4 linked regions of the Alligator mississippiensis genome follow. The protein of the gene in region 3 binds, or shares a complex with, the protein of the main gene of each other region. Links are inferred from orthologs where the notes say so. Each region holds a gene or a part of one and is shown on either strand. Other genes may lie near its edges. The genes, in order: TAF1C, POLR2H, RRN3 and TAF1A.

Region 1 (7,231 bases), on a different chromosome or scaffold from region 3:
AGCTGGGGAGAGCAGGCTGCCAGGGGTCTAGGAGCCAGGGGCTCAGGGAAGCAGGGGCAGCAAGATGGGGGCTGCCCCTACCCCCTGGCCCAAGCCAGGCGGGCAGCTGTCCCTGGGGATGGGCAGGGACCATCACTCACCCGCAGCCGTGCCTCCCCCAGATGGAAATTCTCCTGCAGTAGCTGGCCCATGGCCCCAAACGCGTCCTCAGGGTGGTCCAGGAAGAAGTGTGCCAGCTGCAGGGAGGGGCACAGGGTCAGGGGGCCCAAGCAGGGTCTGGCTAGCACACGGGAGTCCGGGGCAACCCAAGCAGGCAGCTGGGCACATGTAGTGTCTTCGTGGCCTCAGCCCCAGCTGAAGCCCCCTGCCCCCTCCTCCCAAACCTCGTTGCAGGGAGACACTGCGCAGAGCCTGGTGGGCAGAGCATGGCCATCCTGGATCCCCACGTGGGTGCGTGGGTCTGCTTGGATCCTCTGACACCCTCTCCTGCCCAGGGCAGCCCTGCTCCCCTTCCACCCCAGCGCCTTTCCCCAAGGAGGGCAGTGAGCTCAGTGGCCCTCTGCCCAGCCAGGCCTGGGGCTTTTGGGCTGGGCCCACAGGAGCGCTGAGACTTGCTGCTTTCCCAAAGACCCCCCTGCCAGGGCATGGGCCATGTGGTGGGCTACCGGAGGTGCTGGGTACAGCAGCCAGCCTGCAAGGACTCACCTGCCTGGTGAAGTCAAGGGCAGCTTCAGTCCTGCCTGCCTGGAGCTTCCTCCGAACCCGCCCCGGATAGAGGATGTCATGGGGGGTCACGGCCAGGACCCTGAAGCCTGCAGGTCAGAAGTGGGGGGGGAGAGAGAAGGACACGGACAGAGGACACGACAGGGGACGGGACACCAGGCCAGGCTGTCAGTGCAGTGCAAGCCCCCGGGCACAGGGAGGGGAGGGAGCCATGTAGCGCTGCTCAAGGAACCTCCAGCAATTGTGGGCAGAGGGATGGGCACGTGCACCCCCCAGGCCCTGGCAGTACCCGGGGATGGACTGCCCAGGGGAGCCCACAGGTCAGGAGCTAGTTCCTGCTGCTGGAGGGGATGAAGGCCAGGAGGACCCTGCCAGTCAGGGCCTTGTGCTCTGGCAATCTCTGGCTCTGCTGGCCTGGGGGTCGAGGCAGGATCTGAGCTCTCACCAGCGTTAGGAGGCAGAAGTGGCACCGCAACGGCATCAGCAGGTTCCCAGTTCTCGCCTTTCTCGCTGCGAAGCGGCACGAACCCCTGTAAGGGCAGGACAGATGGATCAGCACAGCTCCCTGCCCACTGCAGGGGGCACCTCTACCCTGGTCCCCAGCTGTCCCCAGCCCATCACGCTGCCCGGGGCTGCAGCTCCACTCCCCAACTGGGTCAGGGCCCTCCACTGGGCCTGCACTCCCTCCCCACTTAAGGTTAACGCTAACGGTCCAAGGGGCTGCCCCTCGGGAGGAATCATCACAAGCACAGTGACAAACTGGGTGACTCCTGGCTGGACGGCAGTGCCAAGGAGGATTGTGGGGGGGAACTCGATAGATCAGACTCGATATGAGCCTGCAGCATGGTGCAGCTGCACAAAAGAGCACTGTGATTTGGGCTGTCACGCGTATTAGGTGCAAGACACAGGAGGTGATGGTGCTTCTCTGCTCGGCCCTGGTCAGGCCTCCTCTGGATAACGGCTGCAGTGCTGGGCTCCACATTTTAAAAGGGAAGTGGAGAAGTGAGAGAGGGGCAGAAGCAATGCTCAAGGGCTTGGAAGGCAAGTCCTAAGAGAGGCAGAAGGAGCTGGGCATGTTCAGCTTGCATAAAAGCTGCTTCAGAGGGGACACGAGAGCAGCCTGCAAACACCTGAAGAGCTGCCTCGCAGGAGAGGGAAAGCAGCTTCTCTCTTGGCTTGAAATTGCAGCAAAGTAAATTTAGACTGGATCTCAGAGAAAACTTCTTCCTAGTCGGAGCGGGGGAACAGGTGCCCAGGGAGGCTGCGGCTGCTCCAGCACTGGAGGTGCCCTCGCAGGGGTTGGGCAGCCACTGGTCGCGAGCGAGCTGGGAACAGCAATGCCCACAGCGCTGGGGGGCACAAGAGCCAACGGGGCCGCCACACGAGTTGCTGGGACACCGTGGGCCGAGGGCTGCAGCCCAGGGCAGGGGGCGCGCACTCCCTGCGGGGCTGTGCTCAGCAGGAGAACGAAGCGACGCTCACAGCCAGACAGGAGAGGAAGGGACACTGGAGGAGCTGGCGGGCAAGCTTTTTTGGGTAATGTGTTATCTTTTATTACATCAACTGAGTAGCTAGGAAAACGAGCTCTCTGCAAGCTTTCGGGCACAAGCACGCGTCTTTGGGCACAGGGAGTCGCTGCTGTTGGGAGACCTCCAAGGAAGGAAAGAAGCTGAACGTGTGACAGGAGGTCAGTGAGAAGGTACACGGGCAGAAGCGAGGAAACCACAGGGGAAGAAGGAAGAGGAGGGGGACAATGGCAAAGGCGAGAACCCTGCAGTGCAGAGCGGCTGGGACACGCAAGAGCAGAAGGGACAAGAGGAAGGGGTCGCGAGCCGGGCGGGGCCCAGGGTGCAGGGCAGAGCAGGGATGCGGCCGCCCCGGGCTCCGCCGGAGGCCAGGCTGCCGGGAAGGGAACTGCCCTCCTGCCGGTCCCGCGTCGGGGCTTCCCTGCCACCGGGGCGCTGCGTGCAGGTGGGGGCGGCCCTGCCCCCGCCCCGCTGGGCAGGAAAGATTTCCTCCGGTCGGACTGGTCTGCACTGGCGCGCCCGGGCCCGGGCCCGGGCCGGGCCGGGGTTTGCGGGGCCTCCCCCGGGGCAGGCTCGGGGCTGGCGGGGCCGGACGGACACTCACCTGCCGCGGCTCCGCGCCAGCCCCCAGCACCGGTCCGCGCCCGCCCCAGCCGAGCAGCGCGGGGCAGGGCGGCTCGCGGCTGGGGGGCCCGGCGCGGTGCGGCCCCGGGAACAGCGGCGCCGGGAACTGCATCGCGCCACGTGCGCCCGCCCCGCCGCTACAATGTAGCCCCCGAGCGGCCGCCGACCAATCAACGCCCGCCGCCCATAGAGCGCCCGGCCAGAGCGCCGCGCCGCGCGGAAGGGGCTCGGAAGTGCGGCGCGGCAGCGCCCCCTGGCGGACGGCAGCGTCGGAGCCGGCGTGCGCTTTAGCTCCCAGGGGGCCGGGCCGGGCTGCCCTCTCGGGGGGGGGAGGGGCGTGGGGCGGCTGTGGGTGTCTCCCACGGGGGGGGTGTGGGGCGGCTGCGGGTGCCCCCTCGGGGAGGGCGGCTGCGGGTGTCTCCCGCGGGGGGGGGCGTGGGGTGGCTGCGGGTGCCCCCTCGGGGGGGGCTGCGAGTGCCCCCGCGGGGGGGGTGTGGGGCGGCTGCGGGTGCATCCCGGGGGGCGTGGGGTGGCTGCGGGTGCCTCCCGCAGGGGGGCATGGGGCGGCTGCGGGTGCCCCCTCGGGGGAGGGGGCATGGGGTGGCTGGGGGTGCTTCCCGGGGCGTGGGGTGGCTGGGGGTGCCCCCCCGGGGGGGGGTGCAGGGCCAGTTGGGGGTGCCTCCCCAGGGGGCTGGGGGGCAGCTGGGGGTGCCCCCCCAGCGGCTGTGGTGCCCCCCTACATCCCAGGGCAGGGCAAGCTGCTCCAGGTCCCTCATCCAGACAAGAGCCCCTGGGGGGGCAGTGGTTGGTGCCCTGCACGGCAGGAAGTGGGCCCTGGCCCTCCCCCACGCAGGACGGCCTGTACCCTGGAGCTGGGCCAGGGTGCTGGGGTGTGGAAAGGCTCCGGGAAGCTGAGGAGGAGTTTCAGGTCAAGAACAGTATTGGAGCCAAGAACACATGGGGAAAACCTGCGAGGGGCACAGACAGGCCCAGGGCCCCTGCACCCCGTGCCTCCCGCCCCCGGCGCACGCGGCAGCAGGGTGCAGCCAAGCCAGGAGCTCCCCTTGCCCGGGAGCGACCACTGCCCTCCCCGCACCCTCGCAGCTTGTGGTGGGGCTCAGTGAAGGCCTGGTGCTCCCGCTTCCTCCAGCTGTGACGAATGCTGCCGGCAACGTGTTCAGGTTCTAGGACAAGCCACTACGGACATCTGCGGATCCTATCACAGATGTCACCCAAACCCTGCACTTCTTGCACGGTTCCCAAACCTGCCTGACAATGGCTTTCCATGCCTGCGGTTTGGCCTGGCCTTCGGCTGTGGCTTCACCTGCTGCTTCCCCAAGCCCAAGGAAGGCCACGTGCCCAAAAGCTCGTCCCACGCAAGCTCTCCCTCACCACAAAGCCTGTCTGGGCGATGCTTGTGGTCTGGCACAGGCATTAGCACACGTGCTCCTTGCTTCCACCCTGGATGGCGTCCACAGCGGGGGTCTAGAGCTCTGAAGAGGGGTGCAGGGGCCTGGTGCATCAACGTAGCACACCGTTTTCTCCCAGTAAAGAGAAGCAATGGGTGCTGACGTGCTGGGGCCCAGGGCTACCTTACCAAGCTTAAGATCAAAGCAAAACAAAATGCAGTGTTAGTGGCACATAGGGGAGCGGGCTGGATTGTATGTTACATTTAGGAAGTGCGGCCAGCTGGGCAAAGATAACATTGTGTTGTGATTGTTCCAGTCAGAGCAGTGACATGCACTCCCCTTCCTGATCCTTAATACAAAAGCCCCAGGCATGTGTTACTGAGCTTGACTCTGGCCAGGGATATCTCACACCTGGCAACAGGCCCTTTTTCCTTTCCCTTTCCAACCTGGCAACTGTTTCTGACAAACAAGTTACCAGCCAAGCACAGTCATACAGAAAGTGACAGCAACCAGGAGTGACCCCTCCATGGACTTCCAGTAAGAGGAACAGCCTACATCCAGAGGCCTGGAAGGGCCAGCAGGGTCCTGTAACCCCACTTCCCAGTCCCCCCAATTGTGCCAGGAGCTGTCCCAGCTGCAGGGCTCCAGTCCCTGCATGCAACAGTTGTGGGCCAGTCAGACCTGGGTGCTGTGCTGCAGCTGGCAGCATTGTCCTTCTCTGTTGCTCCCCCAGATCCTCCTCGGGGACCCTCCCCAGGGCAGCACTCCTTCCCCAGTGCTCAGCAGCACTTAGCATCATCCTTCTCTGTCACTCCCTCAAATCCTCAGGGCACCCTCCCTGGGGCCACACTCCTTCTCCAACTCTCAGCAGCAGAGACTGCCCCAGTCCAGCTGTGGGTGCAGGGACACGGCTCCCCCCAGCCCCTGTGGGCCCAGGAGTTCCCTGCCTCCAGCACTCTCACCTGGAGGCTCCTCTCAGGCAGGAGTCACCCAGGCACCAAATAAACCTTGTTGAATGTGAAGTGTCCCAGGCGCATGGGTCACTTCTGGATGATGCCGTGGGGTGTCGCTGGCTGTGGCGCAGGCAGGCACATGGTGCTGGGCTGGGTGCAGGGGAGCCGGTGGGAGCGAGGCCTGCAGCACCTGGTGGAGCAGGACTGATGGGGTCTCGTGTCTGTAGCCATAGACACAAGGGGCATGGCCCCAGCTCATTCTCGGTCCCCTTCCTGGAGGCCTCCTGGCGCACAGCCTGGGGGCTGCATCCACATCTGCACACGTGCCAGCGCTCCCTGCAGCAGGGCGCTCAGCGCCAGGGAGCATCCAGCATCTCTCCCAGCTGCAGCCCAGCTAAGAGGCATCAAACAAACCAGGGCAGGTTCGGCCCTCGCCTCCCTGGCTGGGCCAACACGGAGCAGCCCAAAGCCCAGCCCAGGCCCTGCCCACACTTAGCTCTGCCCCTCGTGCACCCTCTCCCAGAGCAGCCTCCACACCCGTGAGCCTGCCCCCTCTACCACCTTGCTCTCCCTCAGCTGCCCCACCACAGACACCTTTGCCCAGGGCCCATCCCTACTCACAGATGCCACCCTCAGACTACGATCAGCCCACCCAGAGAAGACCCTGCCCCCAGACCCCCATGCACAGGCCTCCAAGCCTCACAGCACAGGTGGTCCAGCAGCACAGCTGAAAGCTGCTTCAGCCCAAGACCCCCAGGGAAAGGACCCTCCCCGGGCCGACAGTGCCCATGGGGCCTCTGCCCCCAGCTCCGTGCTCAGCTGCCCACTCTGCTGTTCCAAGGTGCTCCTGTCCCTGTCCCTGTCCCTGGCCTTGCTGTGGGGGCAACAGGTTCTGCCCCAGGGCTTCCTGAATTGTTCTTCCTAAGTGACCACCAGATACACATGGTCTTTGCCTTATGGGCTAATTGCATGGCTATGTTCGTCCACTGCACCATGCCCCGTGCCTCGCCAGGGGCATCCTCATGGCTGTTCTCTTTCAGTTAACCCCCTTCTGGGGCGTTCACCGAGAGCCCAGAGAGTGACAGCCCTGAGGGCTTCTCCCACAGTGCTCAGTGACATGTCCCTTTCCTTACACACCAGGCCAGGCAGTGCACTGCTGGGCGGCCTCTGCCACGGCCCGGACATGGTGGATCCTTGCACCGCCTTGTGAGACCTGCTTCCCATGACACAGCCTTTCCCATCTGGGGCTCATAGAGGCAATCCTCATCATTTCCCCACAAGCATTTTCCGCAGGCATCAGAGCAGTCCCAGTCTGTCCCCGAAGGGCTTCCCGCAGAGGCCTTGCTTGTGGTGACAGCGGGAGCAAAGATGGCTCCTCCTCTCCGCATGGCCCCTCATCCAGCCAATGAGCGACAGGCAGGAGCAGTTCTGGTCCTAGGACCTGCTTGTGAGAGAGGGGCTGGCAGAGCTGCTGGGCAGAGGGGCCGTCTGCGGCAGGCTGCTGCAACCAGTGTGGGGCAGGACAGGCCCTTCCTGCCAGCACTGAAGGCTGGAGTCAGGTGGCAAAGGCCCACGGTGGCATGGGAGTGTGGGGCGGCTGGAAGCCACTGCTGGGGCGTCTGAGGGCAGGGTCAGCCCTGGGCTGGCTGGCAGGTGTGAGGGGTGGGTTCAGGTGGCTGAGATGGGCCCTGATTAGGGGCAACTGAAGGGAGACAGAAAGGCGGCGTGGGGCCCAGGGAGCAGGGGGCACATGTGGGGCTGCCAGCACGGGGGACAATGAACTGACTGCAGCACGGATACCGCAGCGGGCCCGGGAAGGGGATTGCACCCACTGGAGGTCAAGGGTCAGGGCCTGGCCCGGGCAGGGGAACAGCCAGCTCTGGACGGGGTGGTAAAAGTGGGATGCTGGCAGCAGGTGGAGTGCGGGAAAGCTTTGGGTGGAAACCAGCTGCGGCCGCGTCCACAGTGTTTACAGTCCAGAGAGACAGGTCCTTGA
Region 2 (7,466 bases), on a different chromosome or scaffold from region 3:
CCTTTCAGGAAGTGGGTGTCTTGGATACCCTCCTGCTGTGACTGGGAAGCCCTGGTGGAGGTAACAGCACAATTCCAGTCCACTCAGACAGAACTGAGCCTCCGGCCTGTTATAGTGAAGAGAGAGCAGTGATGTCTCCACCTGTGCACACAACATGGAAGCACCCGCCAGGGCCCACAGGTAGCCTAGAACTAGAGCTCGGAAAGGAGAACGCACTGGGCAAAACGGAGGGGCTGCTAATGATTTCACAGCTGATCACGTCAACAGGGACAGGAGCTGAACAGTGCAGGGCCTGAGAGTCCCCAGCCCAGGGCTTGCAGGGGTTCAGTCCTTCATTAGGCCATGGCTATCATTCCCCAATGCGCTCAGTCCCATTGCTTACCTACTTCACACCTTGTGGAATTCTGTGGGAGGCAAAAGCCAGGACAAATCTGAAAAACAAGTTTAATAGCGAACCAGAGGGGATGGGCTCAGGAGCTGCTGCCCTCCTCGCCAATACAGCACATGGCCTGCCTAGGTGGGTGGCATAGGCTGTACTGCAGCCTGCAGTGGAGCCACGGGGCAAGGATGTAGCCTCCCAGCTGGCCGAGGAGAGCATGTGCCATAGGCAAGTCCTCCAATGACCGGCACCTGCAGGCAGGGACCTAGGAGCTCACCTGCGTGTGACCAGCCCCTACAAAGGGCAGTTCTTCAGAGACTGGGGCATGAGCTGAGGTCTCAGCCTGCTCGGCAGAGAAGCAGTCTCCTGGCCTGGATGGCAACCCAGCAGAGATGTGAGCAGTGCAGGCCTCTGGGCTGGCTGCACAGACTGGAATGCATGGCAGGGTTCAGGCCCACGCAGATGAGGGGTGAAGGAGCCAAACTCCTGAGGCACGGATCAGAGAGGTTGCTGGCAAGTCCATGTCTGTCCAGACAGCCTGTCAGGCAGGGTCCCTGCTGCCTCCTGCAGACCCTCAGCTCCCGCCCCTTAGAAGGCCAGTTTCTTCATGAGGAGGTACACCCTGGAGTCCACTTCGAAGCCATGCAGGTTGTTGGCATCTCCCTGGAGACGCATGAGCAGCCCTCCATAGGACACGTAGGCAGAGCTAGGGTGGAGGGGAAGGATGAGAGCAGGGTAGGAACTCGGGGGAGGCTGACCATAGCCCCAAGCTCTAGAAGCCTAGCTAAGAGGCAGCAGCACTGGCTCATCACGGGGCTGAGGGAGCTGGCTGCCAGGGCAGACTCCAGCCAGCCCCTCAGGGAAGCAGTCCCACACGAGACCAGCGTACTGGGCAGCTCAGCACAGACTGCTAGCAGAATCAGGTGTTCCTACCCCCAAGCTGCCAATCTGGCACCCAGACAGGACATGGACCACCCCCCACCCCTTGGCATCCACGAAGGACCAAATTCCCAATGAATGACAGGGAAGCAGCACAGGGGAGACACTTACAGTCGCGTGGCAGCCTCCGTAGACGTCTCGTCTCCCTCAATCCTGTACACCTTCCCATACATCACATACTCAAACTGGTCAGCCCTGTGAGAGCAAGACAGCAAGGCTGGAGGAATCGGCATGACCCTGGACCCAACCCTCCTGCCCAACACAACCCCCCTCCAGGCTAAACCCCTGCCAGCTAACACTGAACGCCCCCAGTCATCCTTCCACCCTCATGCAGCTGATCAGCGCTGCAGGCTGAAGCTGTCTGCCTCTTTTTTTCATTTGGTGACAGGCTCCCATCCAACACCACGGAGCTAGGGGATTTTTTTGGCTAATACGGATGGCCACTTATTAACCAGCCATATGGGCCAACACCAATCTGATAGCCAATATACAGCCTGGCAACTTGGAGAGCAGCATCCGGCCTGTAAGCCTGGGGGGCGGGGAGGTGGGGGATGGGCAGGCAGATCAAGGCCCACCACAGTGAGGGAGGACGTGGGACTGGGGAAGGGGCAGGTGCTGCCTGGCCAGGGTGGTGAATGGGCCCCTGGGGTAGGTTACCTCTCCCAGGAGTACACACAGCAGAGAAGCTGCCTCCTCCCCAGACACAGCTCCACCCTGCAACTCACCTGGGGGGCCCATTCACTGCCCCGGCTGTGCAGCACCTGCCCCGCCCCACTCCCTCCCTCACCGCGGGGGCCTCGATCTGCCCCCACACCCCTTCCCTCCCACTGACTCACCAGCCAGACGCTGCTCTCCACAGTGCAGGGCCGCGCTCCTGGCCGAGCGCAGGCTGAGGCTGCTTGCATGCGCGCGGCATTTAGTCGGTGACGTTATCGGCTATGCCGGCCAAAAAAAGCCAACCGCCGATAACGTTAATCGCCGCCGATCTGATACATCACCGATGTATCTGCGCCCTCGACACGGAGCCCCGGCGAGGAGGGAGACCGAGAACAGGCGGGGACCCGGTCGGACGCGGCAGGGAGGAGCGTCGTAAATACACAAGGCAGGGGTTGAAACAAAGCCAGGCTGCAGACACGGGCGCGCCCGCGCCCCTACCTGGAGGGCCGGTCGTCCGTGGGGTTGTACTCGCCGTCGTCCAGCGTCCCGTCCTCGTACAAGGTGCTGGCGATGACCAGGCGGAACTTGTCACCTGCAACCCGCGGGGTCAGCGCCGGGCCGGGGGCGCGCGGGCCTGGGGTGGGGGGTGAACCCTTCCCCGCCCGCCCGGCCCCGCCCCGCCACCTACCCAGGTCCACGGGGTAGATCTGGATGTTGACGTCCAGGATCAGGTCCATCTTGAAGGACTCGCTCTCGCAGTGCAGGCGGGACACTGCGGGCAGAGCGGGGGTCAAGGCCCGGGGGGGCGGGGCCTGGGATGAAGGGGGCGTGGCTTGGGCACAACAAGGGGGGGGCGGGGGAGGCTGTCCCGGCCCTGCTTACCGCGGTCGAACTTCTTGCCCTCGGGGTCGATGTCCTTCACATCGAAAATGTCCTCGAACAAGATCCCGGCCATAGCAGCGGCCGCGCTCCCCCGTGCCCGGCGCCCGCCGCGGCGACACGCGCTGCTACTGCCGCTTCCGGCCGGCGCGCCGGAAGTGCCTCATCCGTGCGGGGCGGAAGTGCAGGCTCGGGGCGGAAGGGCCACTCCGGGAGGGCGTTCCATGCTGGCAGTCCGTGTGCGCATGCGTGTGCCGGGGCTGGACCCCGGGCTCCCTGCTCCGCGCGGCCGGGCCCGGGATGGGGCGCTGAGCCGGGCGGGTGCATGGCCGACCCGCGGAGGAAGAAGCTGACCAGCGTCGCCATCGCGCTGCTCTTCCTCTCCGGGGGCATCGAGTACGGTGAGTGCCTGGCCCCGCCCCGCGGCTCCCGCTTCCCTTGGACCCATTTCGCAGGCGGGCACACTGAGGCCGGGCAGGATCCGGCCCGCGGGACGGTCCCCAGCCCTGGTGGTGGGTGCGAGCTGGCTCTCTGCTCCCCCCCGGTGTCTACAGACTGGAGCGAGGGATGTTTTTAAGGCCAAAAGGGGTCTTCTCAGACCTACTGTTTGACTTGTCGGGTCACGTGAGGTGCTGGGTCCTGGATCCTGAAATAATTCTTCCTCCTCCTGCGTTTTCACCCTTGTGACACGGCGGTCACTGGGTCTGCGGCGTTCTGCGCCCAGCCCGCAGGCCTGTCCTTGCGGGAGCGGAGCTGACTTTGCTGTTTCCTCGGTTAATATTTTACAAGGTGCAAGCTGAGCCTGCAGCTCGGGTAGGCCCGGGAGGAGCCCGTTCCTGCTCTTCGCACCAAGGATCTCCGAGTGCTGGGGGAACTGGTAGCCCAGCGGGGAGCAGGGCAGGAGCGTTGACTGTCCGGGAGCTCCCGACCGCTGCAGTCCTACCTCCTTCTAGGAGGAGGCTTCAAACCCAGCGGGGATTGGGGTCTGAGTGCCGGGAGAAGTGGTGGATTGCCAAGTTGTCCTTCCCTCGGGTCCTCTGGGTTCATCCCCCTGCTGGGAGCAGCCAAGGGCTCAGCAATGTTAATGCAGCAAGGACCAAGGGTGGATGCCGGAGCCGAGTGTCATTCCCCTGCCCTTGCCTGTCTCGCCACCTGGGAGAACGTGGCAAGTGCTGGCACTTGCGCGGCTTCGCGACATAAACCGATTCCCCGTGCAGAATCGGGCTGGGGGGAGGCGCAGTTGGCATTGGCCATTTGGCTTGTGAGGGCAGCCAGGCGAGAAGGTCTGTTGTTACGGGGCCTCACCCCACCGCACTGCACCTGGCAAAGCAGCTTTCCTTGGCAGCTGGGTGCTTCAAGCTGAGCTGACCGGTCCGGTGACGTGAGCCACTGGTGCCCTGGGGAGCGGAGCCAGGGAGCGTCTAACGAGGAGGTGGTGTTTGACATGGCAAGGGTTTGATTGAGGCACGTCAGTCAGCGTGCCGGTCCCAGGCTGCAGGGCCCAGCCTTGGCACCCTCTCACCTGCTTTCTGCCTTGTCTGAGCTTGCGCTTCCTTCGGTCTCTGCAGCTGTGGGAGTGCTCCGTGTTCCCGGATGTTTCTCACCCTTCCTTTTACTTCCCTTTGTGCCTCTGTGCTTCCCAGGGGTGTTGCCCTCACCCCTTCCTCCCAGAGTTGGGCTGCCTTTCCACAGCTGCTGTCTGGGGCATGGCCTCACAACTAAGATGAGCCCCTGCCTCCAAGAGCCGATGGCCCACTCTAATGAGCCCAGGTGTGGGGAAATGGGGAGAGGCAGGGACTCAGCCGGATTCTCCCTGCAGCTCAGCGGCAGGTGCAGGAGTCTGACTTGGGCGTCTTGTCTCCATGCCCGTCCCCTGGGCATGCCTGTCTGTGCTCAGAGCATGCTGGGAGGTGCTGGCTGGGGTCTGTGTCCAGCCGTGCCCCTTGTGCTATCACGTCGGCACCCACGCCGACATTCAAGCAAAAAAGGGTCCCAGGTACCCGGGGGTTACGCAGGCCAGGTGCAGACTGGAAAAATACGGGCCAAACCCATGGCTCATGTCCCACAGCTGGGAACACTGCGGGGTGTTCATAAATGTCGCTCGTCTTCCCAGCTTCTCCCATCAGCCCTGATCTCCTCCAGCATGAGTCAGCTCCACTCCTGCTGGCCCAGTGCCCAGCTGGGCCCTGTCCAAACTCACCTCTCCGCTCAACCCATTCCTGCCACTAGTCTTTGGTGACCCTTCTAGGTCTTCGCTCTACCCTCCTTGCCCTCTTGGGGTTTCCTCTGTTGAGTGAGCCCCAAGAACCCCTCATCTCCATGAACCCCACTTCTTGGTCTGTCTCCCTTCTGTATTCTCCTGGATGTCACCTGCCTAAGAACAGTAGGGTCTGGACTGAGATTCCCCCCCCACTAATTTACAGCAGCTTCCCTTTTCACCGAGGCATGGGGTCATCTCCAATGTCTTCCACGTCCCAACTTTGCCTTTTCTTTCTCCATGATCCAAGCATGCTCTGTCCCCCCTTGAGCTACCGCTTTGCAGTCCCTGCTCTCCCGTTCTCCGGGAATGTGGGAAACTGAGGCCCAGGGGTTAGTCAGTCCTTGGTTTATGTTGGATAGGGCCACAGAGCCAGCCCTGGTGCGTGGGCGGGAGGGTGCTGAGTCCTCCCAAAATGAGCAGGGGGTGGGGAGCTGCATGCGCTGCCAGCTCGTAGAGAGGAGGCCTCCAAGGGCAGCAAAAAGACTTTGAGCCAGGCAGATCTCTCTTTGAGCAGCCAGCTCCGTCGTTACAGAGGGAAGTAGGGCAAGGGTGAGCAGGCGGGGGCGGGCGACAGTGTTGCAGCACCTCTGTCCCTTGGGGGAAAGCAGGCAGGGGCGAGCTGAGCCTGGAGGGAGAAACTGGCCATGGGGCCTCCCTGCCTGACACCAGAGACCTGCCCTGGCCCTGCTCTTGGTGCCCAGGGTGACTTGGGGGCCTTTCTGCTTTCTTGGTCCTGGACCTGAAACTCCAGAGCTCCCTTGCAGGTGATCAGAGAGCAGTCCCTGAGCCGTGGGGCAGGGCTACCTCTCGGCTGCCTGCCGGGGACATCTGGAGTTGGCCGGTCGAGATAACCTGTGCTTTCAGGAATGGGAGGGTGTGGGGCAGCGCAGGGGGCAGTCCAAGGCAGGCTGGGGGGATCTGCCGCTAGCTGTACAGAGCTTTGTGGAGCTTTCTAGCTGTGCTGCCTTTGCAGGGGAAGCGACCTGGCCATGGCTGCTCTAATAGCATGTCCTATGCAAAACGTGCTGTCCTTTCCTACTCTTACTGCTGACCAAATGCCTCAGGATATGCCAGGATATGATGGACTAGCCAGGTGCAGCCTGAGAGGGGAGGCTCTGAGCAGGCAGGGGCATTGCGGGGGTCCCCATGTCTCTGGGAAGCCAGTGCTGTCTCCTGGGGGAGAGGGAAGGACTAGGAGAGCTCGCTGTGGCTGCGGAGGGTCTGTCTGCATGGCTGATGCTTCGCCTTGCTGTGCCAGGCATCAGGAGAAGCCATCCAGCTGCCCCAATGGCTGGATCAGCTGAGGTGGGCAGGGTGGGACCCCCAGATGGTGAGTCTCAGGGACCCAGATGGCCTTTGCTGTCCTTGTCACTGGTCAGCCCATGCCAGTTTGGGGGGTGGTGGTCAGGAGCTGGGTGGCCTGGCGTTGTGCTGAGATGATCCAGGATCAGGCTCAGTATCGGTGTGGGGTGTCCTGGTAGGACTCAGCCTGGGGCTGTCTCTGACTGTCTGTCTGTCTTCCTTGCCTGCCAGCGGTGATCCTGCCAACCATCTGGGCCTACCTGCAGACTCTCCATGCGGAGCCGTACTTCCTGGGCCTGGGGATTTCTGCCTTCAGCCTCACTGGCCTGCTGGCAGGGCCCCTCTTCGGGCTCTGGTCGGACCGCACCCAGCGCACCAAAGCAATCATCCTCTTCGCCAACACGTTCGAGATTGCAGGTGAGGCCGTGAGAGCAGACTGGGGGGGACCTTGTAGTTCAGATTCCAGCCCTCCCTGAGGGAAGACAGCAGCGCCACATTTTATATGCAGCGGCTGAAACTGCGTGGCCCGTGGGAAGGCCCATGGTGCAGTGTGGGACCCGCACACGGGCCTGTGGGGTTGTCCACAGCCTGCGGTCACGCATGCATCCTGTGACACGTACCCCATGTTGCTGGTTCTGGGGAGCTGTCTCCGGCTGCCTCAGCCCCATGGGCTGTCTCGTTGCACCTTCCTCTCTGCGTTACCTGTTGCTCTTGTGTCCCCGATTCAGGGAATTTCATGTACTTCATGGGCATCTCCAAATGGCTTCTTCTGGGCAGCCGGCTTGTGGCAGGTAAGAGCTAGAGGCATCCAGGCCTGTATCCTAGGGGCTTTAGGTGCCTGTGCCATTTCTCTCACCCCTGGCCCTGCACATTTCTGTCGTAGGTGTCGGGACAGGAGCAGGTGCCTCCATCTTTGGGTACCTCACTCGCTCCACCACCTCGCAAGAGCGCGCTACGGTGTTTGCAGTGGTCATGGCATGTCGGCAGGTCGGACTGTTGATTGGTAAGAGCCTCCTTTTTGCTGGACCAGGTGGAGGGTCTGGAAGAGGG
Region 3 (6,868 bases):
AACTAGAGAGGTGGCGGAATCTGTCTTTGGAGGGTTTTACGGCCCAGCTCAACAAAGCCCTGGCTGGAATGATGTAATTGGGGATGGTGATGATTTGAGCAGGAGGCTGGACTAGATGACCTCTTGAGGTCCCTTCCAACCCTAATTTTCTGTGATTCTATGATTCTAAAATATTGCTAAAAGTTGTCTTCAACCTTTATATCAATACTATTCAGTAAAAGACTTATGATACTGAAAAAAACCCAAATCTACCCGAATAAAATTAACAAATGTAATTCCATATCATGACACTAAAGCTTTGAATAGAAAGTCAAATTTCCCAAGCATTCACCTCAAAGGATTTGGAAGTAGCCAAGGTCAGGTGATGATGCACTTAATTTCAATAGGAGTAATGTGCATTCAAGTACATGGGGTCCTCCTACTCTTCAGCATGCATGGGTTCATGCAGATTTTGTACCAATACAATTACATTACAGCAGCAATGAAAAGTTCTGCATAAAGGAAGCAATACAAATAGCAAACCATGCTGCTTGAGTACTCACTTTCTTCATCATCATCAGAATCTGAAAAATCCACACCATCTTCCCTTACGATTACTTGAGCTGTTAGGAAAGAGAACTATTAGTGCATAACTATAAAAAGCATAGAGATGACAGCCACAAGTTAAAGCATCTTCAGAACAATATTTTCACCAGAACTACCTGGTGAAAACCCACAATATCTACAATACATCAAAACAAGAAAAGAAGTTTTCTTCTACTCAAGAAGCCAGAAAAATTGTACATGCTGTTATCTAGTTTTAAGCTAATTTCTTATAAATTTCTTACAAAATTTGACCTTATACAAATTCTCTTACTCCAAGTTATTTTAGTAAAAAGAGTGTGAATTATCCCATTTAGAATAAAACGAATTACAAACTTACAAGGTACAAAATGTGAGACAACCATGCGGAGGCAGGGTCTAAGATAGATACTTTGTGCTGATACCAGGTTACCCAGAAAATCTAAATATTCCTCCACCACATCCTGGCTTCTTTTCAACCATGGCAGCTTCTGCAGGCAGTTAGAACAATGATGTGAAATATACAGACATTTTGAGATTAAACATTTATTTCTATATATTATGAGTGGCTACTTACCAACAAAATGCTGACCAGCTCCTCCACATCTTTTGTCAAGTATACAACAGAAGCACGGAATTCATGCAACCAGTTAATGATCTGGGCATCCTTATATAAGCAGACAATAAAATAGAGCAATTGCATTAATATAAAAACCTTTAAAACCCAAATAAACATGAGAATTATGATTAGGGAAGCAGTTTCTACACCAGCATGTTAGGAATGTCACCCAGCACCCTTCCTCCTGCACAAGGCACACCAATACCAGAGTGGAGAAAGGCAGAAATTGCAAATCCACCCATAGTTGCTGAACACAGTTCTCTTTCAAAATCCAAGATGAGTGGATTTATCACACTGAACGTAATAGCTAAGTAGGGGAACTACGTAGTACTCTAGACACTCCTTGTAGTCCTAAATCTAGTCCTGGTCCTCCCAGCCGCTGGGCACAAGGAACCCTTGGATGTATCACCTATCCGTTCTCTACAAGGAAGCAACGTTGTGCTCCAACTGTCAATTAGTTGTTCCTAAAGTCCTTTGCCCGAAAGAAAAAAGCCTGACAGATCTTATTCCAACCATTCTCCTTAAATAGACGTGGGCGCACACCTGTGATCCTCTTCCAACCTTCTCAAGCCTCTGCAAAACAGTTACTGCAAAAAATGGACAGATCTTGTCTCTTACCGATTTTCTGCAACTTAGTCATACGACTAAGATGATGGCATGTACAAAAGTAAGCAAGTAAACACTTCTTCAGAGACTTGAACAAGGTCCAACAGGATTACACTTGGAATAGGTAGAATAGGATCACTCCCAAGTCTGGAGCAGGTGCTGAACTGAAAGGATTAGTTTAGAATTATCAGGGAATTGCCATGGAAACGCAGCCTAACACTCTGTGGTCTGGAAGGAATGGAACATAAGCTGCCACCTGAAGAAATGTAATAACGGTCTGACTCCAAGTGGAGCGCTCTCAAAGAGGCGAGGAGGGATCAAAGGTGTAGCTGATCTGGAAACTGACAAGACTTCTGTCACTGCAAAGTTAACACAGAGCAAAGATATCTGAAAGATAAGAAACCCTCCCTGAAACCTGATCAAGCACCAAGAAATCTATTTGAGGGGGGTTTAAAATCATGTTTAAAACACAATGGCCACACTCTGCCTCATAATTAAATGTACTCCCATGAAACAACCACAACTATCAGAATCCCCCATTGCAAAAATGTCTCACCTTTATATCTGGATCTGACAGCTGATGCTTTAACAACTCAAAGTCAGCAGTTTCTCCCTAGAGTGAGTGTGAAGGGGAAAGAAAACAGAGGCACATTCGGTTTCCTGCGATCCCGGAGCACAGCTCGGGCCCCGCTACCTAACCCATCTGAAACACAAGCTTCCTCTTCTGTTACTAAGGACAGCTTGGAAGACCCCTGGCAAAAGCCAGAAAAGCCATAAAGTGGCAGCAAGAGTCGCAGCTTCTCTCTCCCCTGCTCTACTACTAAAGTCTGGCTGGTGCTTCTCCCTTCTGCCCACCCATCCCCTACGTTTCCTCAGAGAAGCCCGAGGAAGCAGCCCACCAGCACCCCCGGGACCGAGGCCGATGGGGGAGGGAGCAAGAAGCAGCTTTTCATCACCCCCGAGACAAGCCCAGGCGCCGTCACCTGCTCGTGCTTCAGCAGGACGTCCCTCAAGGTCCCGCCGAACCGGACCGTTTTCCTGAGCGGGGAGCCGAGGAACGCGCCTCCCTCCATGGCCGCAACGGTCAGACCGGCCGCCTCGCGTGCAGCCCACTGCTGGGGGGGCGGTAAAGACACCGTCACCCCCTCCCGCCTCAGCGCCCCCGGCCGCCGGGCCCGCCCCGCTCCTCGCCGCCAGCCGCGCGGCCGGGCCCCGCCATGCCTCCGCCTGCGGGCCGGAAACGAGCACTGAGCCCCCCGGAAGTGACGCACGCCCACACTACTAGTCTAAGGTGGCTGGCACGTTGGCCATGCGGCCGTTCTGGTTTCCCCTCTCGCTGCCCCTCGGAGGACTAGGGGCGGGGATCTTGGCCACGCCCAAGGCGCTGGGGGAGGTGACGTGTCTTCTCCTCCTCTCCCCTCCCCCCCCCCCCCGGTTTTTTCCTCAGAAGTGTCCGGGACCCCCTCGCCCCCTGGTCTGCACCGCCCGGCTCCTTCCCCCGCCCCGTGTCCGAGCCTCAGTGCCAGGGAGCTGGGCCCGGGCCCGGGCCCGGGGCGGTTCCCGGGGCCCAGGGTAGCAATGTGAAGCATCCCGTCCGCAGGGGGGGGCTTTGGGGACCTTCCGTCCAAAGGGAAAAGGGGATCTCGGACCACAACGCTCCAAAACTACTGTGCCTAAATTAAATTTAAAAAAAAAAAGTCATGATAATAGAACCGCAGTTTCCATTATTGAGCAAAATCACATCCTGCCAGGACTGAAAAGATTTGAGATCCACCAGGAAACATGTTTGTGGCAATCCAGACGCTACATTATAGGTAAGGACAGCTAATGGCCTGAAATGACCTCTGTAGGGGTAATAAGTTGTAACAAAATAATGTTGTACGTAAGACATACACAAAAACTAGATCTCTTGGTTCCAAAATGAGACTTTTTATTAGACCAAGTGGGAAATCGCAAGAAAATTGTCCTTTTTCTGCAAGCTTTCAGGATCAAAGTCCCTTCATTAGGCTCTGGGAACAGTACAGACGATACAAGATGGTAAAAAGTCCCCATGGGTAGGAAATAGACTTCGTTTTTGCACAGAGGGAGCTGAAGTCACACGGCTGTCCCTCCGGGTCCATGACAGGGTCTGTGAGCTGTGCTGAGCAGCTCTTTGACGTGTAGGTCTGGTAGATCTACGCGTCACTTTGTACTTACAGCACACTTTCTAGATGAACCCTTGCTCCCTGCCAGTCCTTTTGTAGCATCTGATAAAGTGAGCTGTTGATTACAAAAGTGAATGCATCTCTGACTTAGTCTATAAGGTTTCTCTCTGCCCTGCCTTCTGCCTGGAGTAGGCATGGCAGGCATACTACAGCATTCTGGCAACCAGTATAAAGCCATGCGACTCTGGTGCCTTTCCCACTTTCAGTATTTAAAAAACACACCGCTATTTATGATGAAATATCATTGAGTACGCTTGCTGGAGAGGCAAGCTAGCTGTTCATTTCCTTTAAACCCAAAAGAACAAATAATACTCTTATTCTCCAGGTAATTCACCTAAAATAGCTCTAGCAATTTGCTAGATTGTGCCATAGGCTTTGTTCTTCAGTCCATTATATCTTTGGTTACTACACTTCAGCAGGTATAGGGCAGTCTGTTTTGAAAGAAAGTACAGAACATGCAGTCATTAGAAGTGGTCTGACAAAAGTTAGCGCTCTCAGTTCATTTTCTGGTGGATAAATGTCCACATAAAAAGAACAAGTTGAAGTAATGACTATTTGCAGCAAAGTTAAAAAGATTGAACAGATCAGGGTGGGCAAAATGTGGCCTGTGGCCTGGATGCGGCCTGCCAGGCCATTCTATCCTGCCTGCGGGGCCCCTAAAAAATTTAGAAAATTAATATTTATTTGCCCCTAGCTGCCTGTCATACGGCCCTCAGTAGCTTGCCAATACTCAGTAAGCGGCCCTCCGCCTGAAATAAGTGCCCGCCCCTGGAATGGATGAACTACTGTATTGCAAGGAAATGGTTACAATATGGTTGATTGCTGATTTTACAGCATCTTGTAGACAGAATCAAACTGAGTTCCTTAACTGTGTTTCCCATGGGTTTCTCTTCGCTTTGTTTTAGGGTTTGTCTTTACTGAAAAATGGAATCGTTCTGCAATTAGGTTGGGAGCAACCATGTTCTAAACATGATTCTGTGCGTTCTGCCATGGGTAGCTGTCAGAAAGACACCTAACAGCTTGACCTTTGGTCCTTCTAGAAGGATCACACATAAGGAATTGTAAGGGCAGTGGGGCAAAGTTTGCAATGTCACTACACTGACACTGATAAAAGAAGTGATTTCAGTCATGAGCCTGTCCCACTAGCACAGGCTTGTCCAACATACAGCCCGCGGGCCGCCATGCAGCCCACCAAGGCATGTTCTGCGGCCCGTGGTACCGCGACAGGAAACTAAAGTAAACATGGTTTACTTTTGTTCCCACCCCTTGTCCCTCCCCCAGCCCCTCAGCAGCTTCCTAATGGCTACTGAAGGGCTAGGGAAGGGACAAGTTTCCCACACGCACTGGGTCAGCATGGCACGGCCGGGGGCATCCTTTGCAGGGACTGGACCCCTCCCTGGCCGGGGGCGGTGCAGGCTGCGGCTGCTGAGCGGCCCCGCCCGCCCACCCGCCCCGACAAGCCGGTGCCCATCCAGGCGGCCGCAACCAGTGCCGCGGGACTGCCCCACGCAGGAGGCCAAGCAGCGGCCGGTGGCACTGCTGGCCCATGCCTGCCTCCTCACCCGCCCGCTCCAAGCCAGCCCCGCTACCCTGCCCTGCCTCACAGCAAGGCGGTGCCTGCTCCCCTGGCCAGACTTCCCCCCGGTGCTGCGGCTCTCCAGGCCCGGCCGCCCATGCGCGAGGCCCCGAGGGGGCTGCTTCTCATGTGCTGCTGGGGACCGGAGGAGCCTGGCTGGGTCTGCACCAGCCAGGAGAAGCGGTGGCGGAGCCACATGCCACTCGAGACGGGACGAGCCTGCACCGGTCAGTCCCGAGCGGCACATGGCTCCACCGCAGACCTGGCCGGCCTCCTCCTGTCTCCAGCAGCACGTGGGAAGCCGGCTTCAGCTGCATGCTGCTTTTCCTGGTCGGTGCCGACCCAGTTCTGCCTAGGCGGGTCCTGCAGGAACCATGTCAACCCGGGCATGGCACCAGGTCTGACTGATATTTTTTCCACATTTGATCTGTTGACGTGCATTATGCTTCTTTCATTCACTGAGAAGTGAGTAGAAGCGAAAGTGTTTATTTTAGTCATGTGTTTGGTATTATTTCATTCTTGCTTTTATATCGTTTTTATTTTAGATTTTAAACCACATTTCCAGACCCATTTCATTGTCACTTCCTGCAACTTCATTGGTGTCAAAGGTCACGGGACCTCACTGGAAGACGTCAAACATAGTTGAACTTACAGCCTTATTGGTCATTCTGAATCAATTTCTCGGTGCCTCCACAGAATGTCTAAAATACTTGCATAGAAGTTGAAAACGGGTATCTTTGAATGTAAAGGTTCTTGCCTATTCAGTACTAAATTACAGAATGCAAGCTTTATAAAAGTCCTACATTTCAAAATAACCAAGGAAGCTATTAATTTTTTGTCAACTATGAGGCAAACATTTTTTATGGACCCTAATTAGTCAACTCCTTTGAAGATTACCTTTCTTTGCTGCAAACTCTTTAAAATATCGTGTTGACTATTAAAACTATTTTTACTGGATTCAGTTTCCTAAACTAAACTACAAGGCAGCTTTTAAATTATGACAACGGTTTGTGCTTGTACCCTATGGCTAGATTGTCTGAAAAACATAGTTTTAAATAGGCAGACAAGGTTCCTTGGGTGAATTTGATATCTTTTATTAGACCAATCCAAATGGTTGGAGAATAGTTATTAAGCAAGCTTTCAAGTTCAAAAACCCTTCGTCAGGCTAAGGAAGTGTCAGCACTTGGTGTGTGCTCTTCGTGGATGGAATGAAAAGTAAAGAGGCCAGGGGCTGGGCTGGGCTGGGGAGTCAGTTGCCAGGCAGATTATAATGTATCAAAAATCCAATGTCTATGTTTAGTG
Region 4 (7,427 bases), on a different chromosome or scaffold from region 3:
GTCTGGACAATGCCTGCAGACACTGGAGAGGCACCTCCTCTCTGCTGCCACAGGGAACAGTGCCAGTGCTGGTTGGGTCCTAGTAGCCACTCATCCACCTGCCTGCCTCTGACTCCAACTGGGCCAATCCAGACCAAAGCCTTAAAAGGCTGCTGCTACATTAGACAACTCCCCTGCTCCCAAGCTGCTCCACATTACCTGAATAAAACCCCTTAACTGCTAGCAACTACAGGGTCTAGTTTTGTGTGGTCTGCTACCCGATACTTGTGCAACAGAACTGTGGTTGCTTATATGCAGGGTGCAGTTTTGTGCCCCCTCTGCCAGGGACATGCATGAGTTGTACTGAACTGCTAAACTTTGTTCTATATCTCTACTGTTTTATATGCTAGAGGTTTGTTTTCCAAATGTATTGGTTGGTATGGATACCTAGAGAGTAATCAAAAGAGCACACACCAACTGCTGAAGCTTCCTTAGCCTGACGAAGGGTTTTTGAACCCGAAAGCTTGCTTAATAACTATTCTCCAACCATTTGGATTGGTCTAATAAAAGATATCAAATTCACCCAAGGAACCTTGTCTGCCTATGTCCTTAGACCAACACAGCTACAACCTAAACCCCAAAACCTCTCTAATGCACACATGTTCTTGTAAAGCTTTGAGGTTTCTTTTTAACAAATAAGACATAAGTATGGATCATGAACTACTTCAAATGCCCTTTTAAATTATTTCCATCAACAGCAAGTGAATTCTGGTAACAGCCTCTTTTTATCTTACCTCTGGAGCAGTTTTCCGTTTACTCACTGTACTTGTTTCCAATATCTCCAAGTAGCTAATCATGAACTCTGCAGCCCTCTGCCACTGGTTCTGCAACAGGGCATCTTGAATGTAGTTTAAACAAGCTTCCTTTGTTTTCTGAAATTCTGTTTCCTTTGGACCCCTAGTTACTAAAAAAAAAAAAATAGGATTAACAAATAAGAGAGGGTAACAATGTAACTATCACTTTACTACCTTTAGCTTTGTCCAGGGCAAACTCTGCCAAAGGAGATGAAAAAGACAGAAACCATGCTTCAAAATGCAACTTCAAATATTTCCTAAAACACAGTGGATTTCTCCTCTGAGCCCATCTCCTCTCTTATTTAAGGTCTACATTGCAAGATATTGTACTATGATCACCTAGAAACCTCAACCAAGAGAACTTCTTTCAGCTAAGTATAACTGTGTTAAGAAGCAGTGCTCACCTAAAGAACTGAAAATGCAAGTAGCTGGTACAAACAAATTAAAAACTCTTATTTAAGCAGATTGTAAACTGAAGCAGAGATGGGGAGAATTTGTTCCTATACTATGACTAAGCTCGAAGAAAACTTGCAGCTTCCCTACGCAAGGGCTCCAAGAGGCTGGTTAGGCCCCTGCCCAAACTGAATCGTTGTTGCTGCAGCCCATATAGAACCTGTGGCAGTTAAAGTCTGAATGGTGTGCCTCCTGAATGCACCAATGTTTTCTGATGAGGAAGCGCAAAACTGATAGACCCACGTAGTAGAGTTTGTTCCTCCTCCTACACTATGAGCACTACATATGAAACTATTAAAGGACCACGGCTAAACAGGACAGATTTCCCACATGAACTGCATAACCACAGTGTATTGTGGTCTATAGTTGTATTCAAAGACTGTGTTTTCATCTGCTTTGAAATAACAGACCAGCCTCATGTGCCAGAGCCAACACATCCCCCAGACCAGCTCTGTGCAGTGTACACCAACTTCATGGGTGACTGGTGCCTCCCGATACTAGGGAGGCACCAGCAGCCGACTGCTGACTAGGGGAGGAGGGGGTCCCCAGCATGTGCTAGCGCCAGCTCTATCAAGTTCCTAGGTCTTGAACCAGCCCCATGTTCATGTGTGGAGCCAGTCTGGTGCGCAGGGCCAGTCCGAGATGAGCGCTGAATGCAGTACGCATGTTGGACCAGCCCAGTGTTTTGGATCCAGAGCAGCAGAGGTGCCACATGCAATGCATGCCAGACCAGCTCCATGCACGCAGCAATGTCCAGACAACGTGTGCTGCACACAGAGCTGACCCGAGCAGAGCTGACTGGGGCAAATCTGCCCATGCAGGGCTGCGCCCCCACTCTGATTCCCCTGGACCTGAAAAAGCATGGGGGGGGGGGGGGGAGGTGTGCTAGTGAGTGCCTGGACATCGCCTCTGCAAAAAAAACCTGGGCTGCCCATCATGATGCCCTAATAAAATCCCTAGGTTATGATCCCCCGCTCCCTTCCCCAGATTATGATTTTCAAATTTTACAGGGGGCTCTTGCCTGTTATGGGGAGGGGGGGGGGGGTCTCAGCCCCCCAAGCTCCCTTGTAATTCAAACCCTGGTGCACACACCTGCGGGTCCACACACGTGCAGGTCCATGTGTATATATACCTGTACATGTGTGTGCAGGCATGTGCCAAATCAAGGAGCACCATGAGGCAGGGCTGGTTTGTACCTTTGGGCCCAACCCATTCAGTACCACTTACCTGGGTGATGGAGCAAGCACGGGAGCAGGGGCAGGTGGATGCTCGGGGCCAGGCTGCCCCACTCCTCCCTCGGGGCCGGCTGCTCCACGAAGCCGTCCATGCCCTCGGCAGCGGGGAGGAGGAGAATGAACCAGTCCCGCACCCCGCCCGGCCGGAAGTGGCGCGGTCCCACAGGACGCGACTGGCCCACTAGAAGCGGGAGACCATGTTTGTTCCTGGCGAGAGACCTCAAAGTACCTATCATGTGACCCACGCCCTTATTTACCAACTACGTCTTTAAATTAATCCGGGCACCGACATCAAGTGGCTTTACCGTTATCAAGAGCAAAGTCAGTTAGCTCTGAAAAAAAGGAAGCAAAGCTTTCTTCAGCAGTGCCTCGGAGCCACCTTCAGAATGACCTTCGACCTCGCCAGAGGGATAGTGCAGCCGGGGAAGAGACGCGAGGTGCTCATGCACTGTTTTCTCAGAAGTCGGCATCTAGCGTTGTGGCAGGGGCGTGTCGTGGAGCCAATCCGGTCATGTGACCGGACCCTGGTCTCGCTGCTTGTTCCCTGCGAGAGCTGAGGTGACTCTCAGTGCGCAGGCGCGGGTTTCCGGTCATACCATCCTCCCACCCCTGGAACCCGATCCTGCGCCCCCAGCTGCAGCTATGGGTCGGCTTGTGCCGCGGGCTCCAAGGCCGAGGCTCGGTCTGATCTGGTCTGCACACCGAGGAGATAGCAATTATTATTATTATTATTATTGATATAATAATAATATAATTATTGTAGCATGCTTATAATTCATATTATATTAATATAACAAGTACTATTGTATATAATAATATATACCATTACTGTTATTGTCGTTCTAATCGTCATTATTATTGTGGTTGTTATTCATATGAATTATATTGATATTAATGTGATTGATATTAATATTATTCTTATTAGCCATAATAAGGAAATAAATCGTATTAGTCAATAGTAAGTGATCATATGCTTAATAGTAATATACTTGTGGTCCTAATTATTATAGCAATAATGATTAGTATTATAGCAATAATAATAATGCTATTAACATCACAGTGATGGTTCCTAAATACTGCTCATCAATAATATAAAGACCAGTGAAATGTCGAGTAGTCAACATACAGCAGCAGCTTGGAGCTGAATAGCTAAGAGCACAGTACAGGGGAAGTAAGTCCCCCACTGTGAAAATACATGCATGCTTATAGACTTTGGACCTATGTAGGGTTGCCAACCCTCTAGGAGTGCCCTGGAGTCTCCAGGGATTAGATATAAATCTCCAGGAGGCTACTGGAAGCCCCCCAGGAGATAAATGACAGGGCATTCATTAAAATAAATATTAAATGTTGAATCCGATTTACATGGTAGTCCAGTTTTTAAAATGTAATAGTAATTTGCATTTGCCTTCCTGACATGAAGTCTATGTAACTGATACATGGAAGCAGGTAGGCACATCCGTGTTGTGTTGCCAGCATGTTGGCATTCCGGAAACCTCTTGGAATAGATTCAGAGTTGGCAACCCTACACCTGTGAATAGTGCTGCCAGCTACTTTGGAGGCATGTGTTGAGTAAATGCATAAGTATTTACAAAATCAGGGCCATAGATGCATGGCAGACATGCAGCTTGATCCAGTAAAAGCTGTCACCTATAACAATTCTTGCCTCTTACTTCTCTCACCTGTTTCTACTTCTCTCACTAGGTCTTGTCTTACCTGCTTTTTTCCTGGTCCTCTCTACCTGACTTGCATAGGTCAGAATTACTTTTGAAAGAAGAGAATAAAATTGACTAAGGGTACTTGCAAAATGATGTGTGAATATGTTTGGAGGCCACAGGTCAGGAGTGTAGGAATCTAAAGGAATGGTATAGCAGGAAGATTTTTTTTTAAAGCTGTCTTGTAGTTTTTGAGTAAAAAAAGCAATTTTTACAAAGGTAGCTTTGACCCTTGAAGGATCCATGTTTTTTTGTTTTGTTTTGTTTTTTAGAATGTGATAATAGATTGAAAAGGCAGTAACTTGTTCTGTTACTGCAATACACAGCAGAGGGGACTAGCCAAAGAGCATCAACATCTCTGCGATACACTTGCTCGTGTTTGGAATGGAGCTGAATGGAGGAGAGGCAAGGAAAGAAGTGGATTGAAATGAGAGGCAGTTTTGGTGGTCTTGTCTAGGACTGAAATGGTGAGGGTCTGGGTGTGGGAGGAGTTGGGTGGGGTTTGTGCATGAGGTGTGGAAATGATAGATGGTTTCTGGATCTGTGTGAGGAGTAGAACAAGGATGTTGTACACTGAGAGGGCCACTGTGCAAATATGAATAGTCAAGGAGGAGCAGCAGGAAGATGGTCTGCGGACACATGTAAGGAACAGAATAGGGACTCACCTGTTATCCCCTTTGACCTGAGTCATTAGCCAACATTCAGGGTACAGTAGGTGGTTTCCATAATAGGAAATTTTGGTTGGAAGGGACCTCGGGAAGTCATCTACTCCAGCCCCTAGTCCTCAAAGCAGGACCGTCCCCAGTTAGATCGTTCCAGCCAGGGCTTTGTTAAGCCAGAGCTGAAAAACCTCCAAGGATGGAGATTCCACAACCTCTCTAGGTCATTTGTTCAAGTGCTTCACCACCCTCCCAGCGACAGAGTTTTTCCTGATATCAAACCCAAATTTCCCATGCTGCAACTTGAGACCATTGCTCCTTGTTCTGTCATCTGCCAACAGAACAGTCTAGCTTCATCCTCTTTGGAACCACCCCTGAGGTAGTAAAAGGCTGCTATCAAATCCCCCCTCAGTCTTCTCTTTTGAAGACTAAATAAATCTAGTTCCCTCAACCTCTCCTCAGAAGTCATGTGCCCCAGCCCCCAAACCACTTTCATTGTTATCTGCTGGACGCTCTCCAACTTGTCCACATCCTTTCTATAGTGGGGGGCTGAAAACAACATGGTATTTCAGATGTGACCTCACCAGTGCTGACTAGAGGAAAAGAATCGCTTCCCTCGATCTGCTGGCAATGCTTTTACTAATGCAGCCCAGTACAGGTTTCCCTCGCTTTATGCTATACGTACGTTCCTGGAAAAGGGTGCATAACTCAAATTTGCATAAAATGAACCCACTTTACAATATAATAAATAAGGATACTTTCCAAGACCTCAATTATACTGACCTCCAGACCCATTTCTACTACTTTTACAAGACAATTTTGGTACTCGCCAACAGCAGACAGTATATACAACCACAGGGTGATAGTGAATGTTACCATAATGAGGATGGCAACTACAGAAACACAGGGTGCAGACAATGAGCAAGGAGCATAGATATTTTGGTGCATGTCACTCCCACAACACACTGCACAAAGCAGCTGACTGTGGGCTTCCACCACACCGATCGCATAAGAGTGAATTTACCTTGCGTATAACAAATTTTGGTATAAAAAGGATCATCACGTAAGAGCGAATTTGCACATACAGAACCAACATAAAGCGAGGGAAACCTGTATGCTGTTAGCCTTCTGGGCAACAAGGGCACGCTGCTGACTCATAGTTAGTGTCCACTATAGTTCGTGTCCACTATAACCCCTGGTCCTTTTCTGCAAAGCTGCTGCTTAGCCACTGTCCCCAGGCTGTAGCAGTGCATGGGATTCTTCTGTCCTAAGTGCAGGACTTTGTACTTGTCCTTATTTTGAACCTCATGAGATTAATTTTGGCTCAATCCTCCAATTTCTCTAGGTCCGTGGTTCCCAACTTTTGTTTGCCATGACCCGCAGCTGTAGTGGAGTGCAGTGGCGGCAGCAGCCCAAGGGCAGGGTGATGGAGCTCCCAGCACATGACATGGCTTGTCCTTTGTGTGCAGCGCTGCCGGCATTGGCCCCACAACCCTCATTTGGGTCGTGGCCCAAGGTTGGGAACCGCTGGTCTAGGTCACCCTGAATCCTAGCCCTACCCTCCAATTTATCTACTACACCCCCCCAGCTTGGTGTCATCTGCAAACTTGCTGAGGGTGCAATCCATCCCATCTTTCAGATTGTTGATGAAGATATCAAACAAACTTAGCGCCAGGGAGTTAGGGCACTCCACTTGATACTAAGCCATTGATTACTACTCGTTGAACCCGACAATCCAGCTAGCTTTCTATCCACCTTACAGTCCATTCAACCCATACTTCCTCAGCTTGCTTTCAAGAATGCTGTGGGAGACAGTATCAAAAGCCTTGCTAAAGTCAAGATATATTACATCCCCAGCTTTCTCTGCATCCACAGAACCAATTATCTCATCACAGAAGGCAATCGGGTTGGTCTGACTTGCCTTTGGTGAATCTGTGCTTTCTGTTCCTAATCACCTTCTTCTTCAAGTGCTTAGACATGGATTCTTTGAGGACCTGCTCCATGATTTTCCCAGGGCCTGAGGTGAGGATGACTGGTCTGTAGTTCCCTGGATCCTCCTTCTTCCCTTTCTTAAAGATGGGCAGTATATTTGCCCTTTTCCAATTGTCTGGGACCTCCCCCACTCGTCACGAGTTTTCAAAGATAATGGCCAGTGTCTCTGCAATCACATCGGCCAGCTCCCTCAGCACCCGCGGATGCATTGCATCCAGCCCTATAGACTTGTACACGTCCAGCTTTGCTAAACAGCCCCTAGCTTGTTCTTTCACCATTGAGGGCTGCTCACCTTCTGTCCAAACTGTGCTGCCTGGTGCAGTAGTCTGGGAGCTGACCTGGCCTGTGAAGACCAAGGTAAAAAGGCACTGAGTACTTCAGCCTTTTCCTCATCTGTCCCTAGGTTGCCTCCCCCATTCACTAAGGGACCCACACTTTCCCTGACCTTCCTCTTGTTGCTAACATACTTGTAGAAACCCTTGTTACCCTTCATGGCCCTGGCTAGCTGCAACTCCAGTTGTGTTTGGCCTTCTTGATATCATC

What was found.
Region 1: RRN3 (region 3) and TAF1C share a complex: the UniProt entries of both Homo sapiens proteins name them as parts of the pol I pre-initiation complex. The link is inferred for Alligator mississippiensis from reciprocal best matches to the Homo sapiens genes RRN3 and TAF1C.
Region 2: RRN3 (region 3) and POLR2H share a complex: the UniProt entries of both Homo sapiens proteins name them as parts of the pol I pre-initiation complex. The link is inferred for Alligator mississippiensis from reciprocal best matches to the Homo sapiens genes RRN3 and POLR2H.
Region 4: RRN3 (region 3) and TAF1A share a complex: the UniProt entries of both Homo sapiens proteins name them as parts of the pol I pre-initiation complex. The link is inferred for Alligator mississippiensis from reciprocal best matches to the Homo sapiens genes RRN3 and TAF1A.

Annotation. Positions count from the first base shown.
Region 1 is NC_081826.1:303,255,601-303,262,831, forward strand, and holds the start of TAF1C (TATA box-binding protein-associated factor RNA polymerase I subunit C), read right to left. Parts: upstream 3,001-7,231; 5' UTR 2,986-3,000; coding exon 2,854-2,985; intron 1,254-2,853; coding exon 1,169-1,253; intron 813-1,168; coding exon 706-812; intron 237-705; coding exon 141-236; intron 121-140; exon of another isoform or gene 1-120. UniProt on the Homo sapiens protein: Component of the transcription factor SL1/TIF-IB complex, which is involved in the assembly of the PIC (pre-initiation complex) during RNA polymerase I-dependent transcription.
Region 2 is NC_081830.1:83,503,975-83,511,440, reverse strand, and holds POLR2H (DNA-directed RNA polymerases I, II, and III subunit RPABC3), read right to left. Parts: upstream 3,001-7,466; 5' UTR 2,931-3,000; coding exon 2,858-2,930; intron 2,748-2,857; coding exon 2,664-2,747; intron 2,568-2,663; coding exon 2,474-2,567; intron 1,514-2,473; coding exon 1,430-1,513; intron 1,086-1,429; coding exon 968-1,085; 3' UTR 428-967; downstream 1-427. Other genes in the region: major facilitator superfamily domain-containing protein 8, read left to right, coding at 3,180-3,255, 6,648-6,833, 7,145-7,207, 7,300-7,419. UniProt on the Homo sapiens protein: DNA-dependent RNA polymerase catalyzes the transcription of DNA into RNA using the four ribonucleoside triphosphates as substrates.
Region 3 is NC_081836.1:42,573,600-42,580,467, reverse strand, and holds the start of RRN3 (RNA polymerase I-specific transcription initiation factor RRN3), read right to left. Parts: upstream 3,016-6,868; 5' UTR 2,860-3,015; coding exon 2,770-2,859; intron 2,400-2,769; coding exon 2,343-2,399; intron 1,229-2,342; coding exon 1,139-1,228; intron 1,053-1,138; coding exon 923-1,052; intron 603-922; coding exon 543-602; intron 1-542. UniProt on the Homo sapiens protein: Required for efficient transcription initiation by RNA polymerase I (Pol I). Required for the formation of the competent pre-initiation complex (PIC).
Region 4 is NC_081824.1:182,344,637-182,352,063, reverse strand, and holds the start of TAF1A (TATA box-binding protein-associated factor RNA polymerase I subunit A), read right to left. Parts: upstream 3,004-7,427; 5' UTR 2,758-3,003; coding exon 2,514-2,757; intron 944-2,513; coding exon 774-943; intron 1-773. UniProt on the Homo sapiens protein: Component of the transcription factor SL1/TIF-IB complex, which is involved in the assembly of the PIC (pre-initiation complex) during RNA polymerase I-dependent transcription.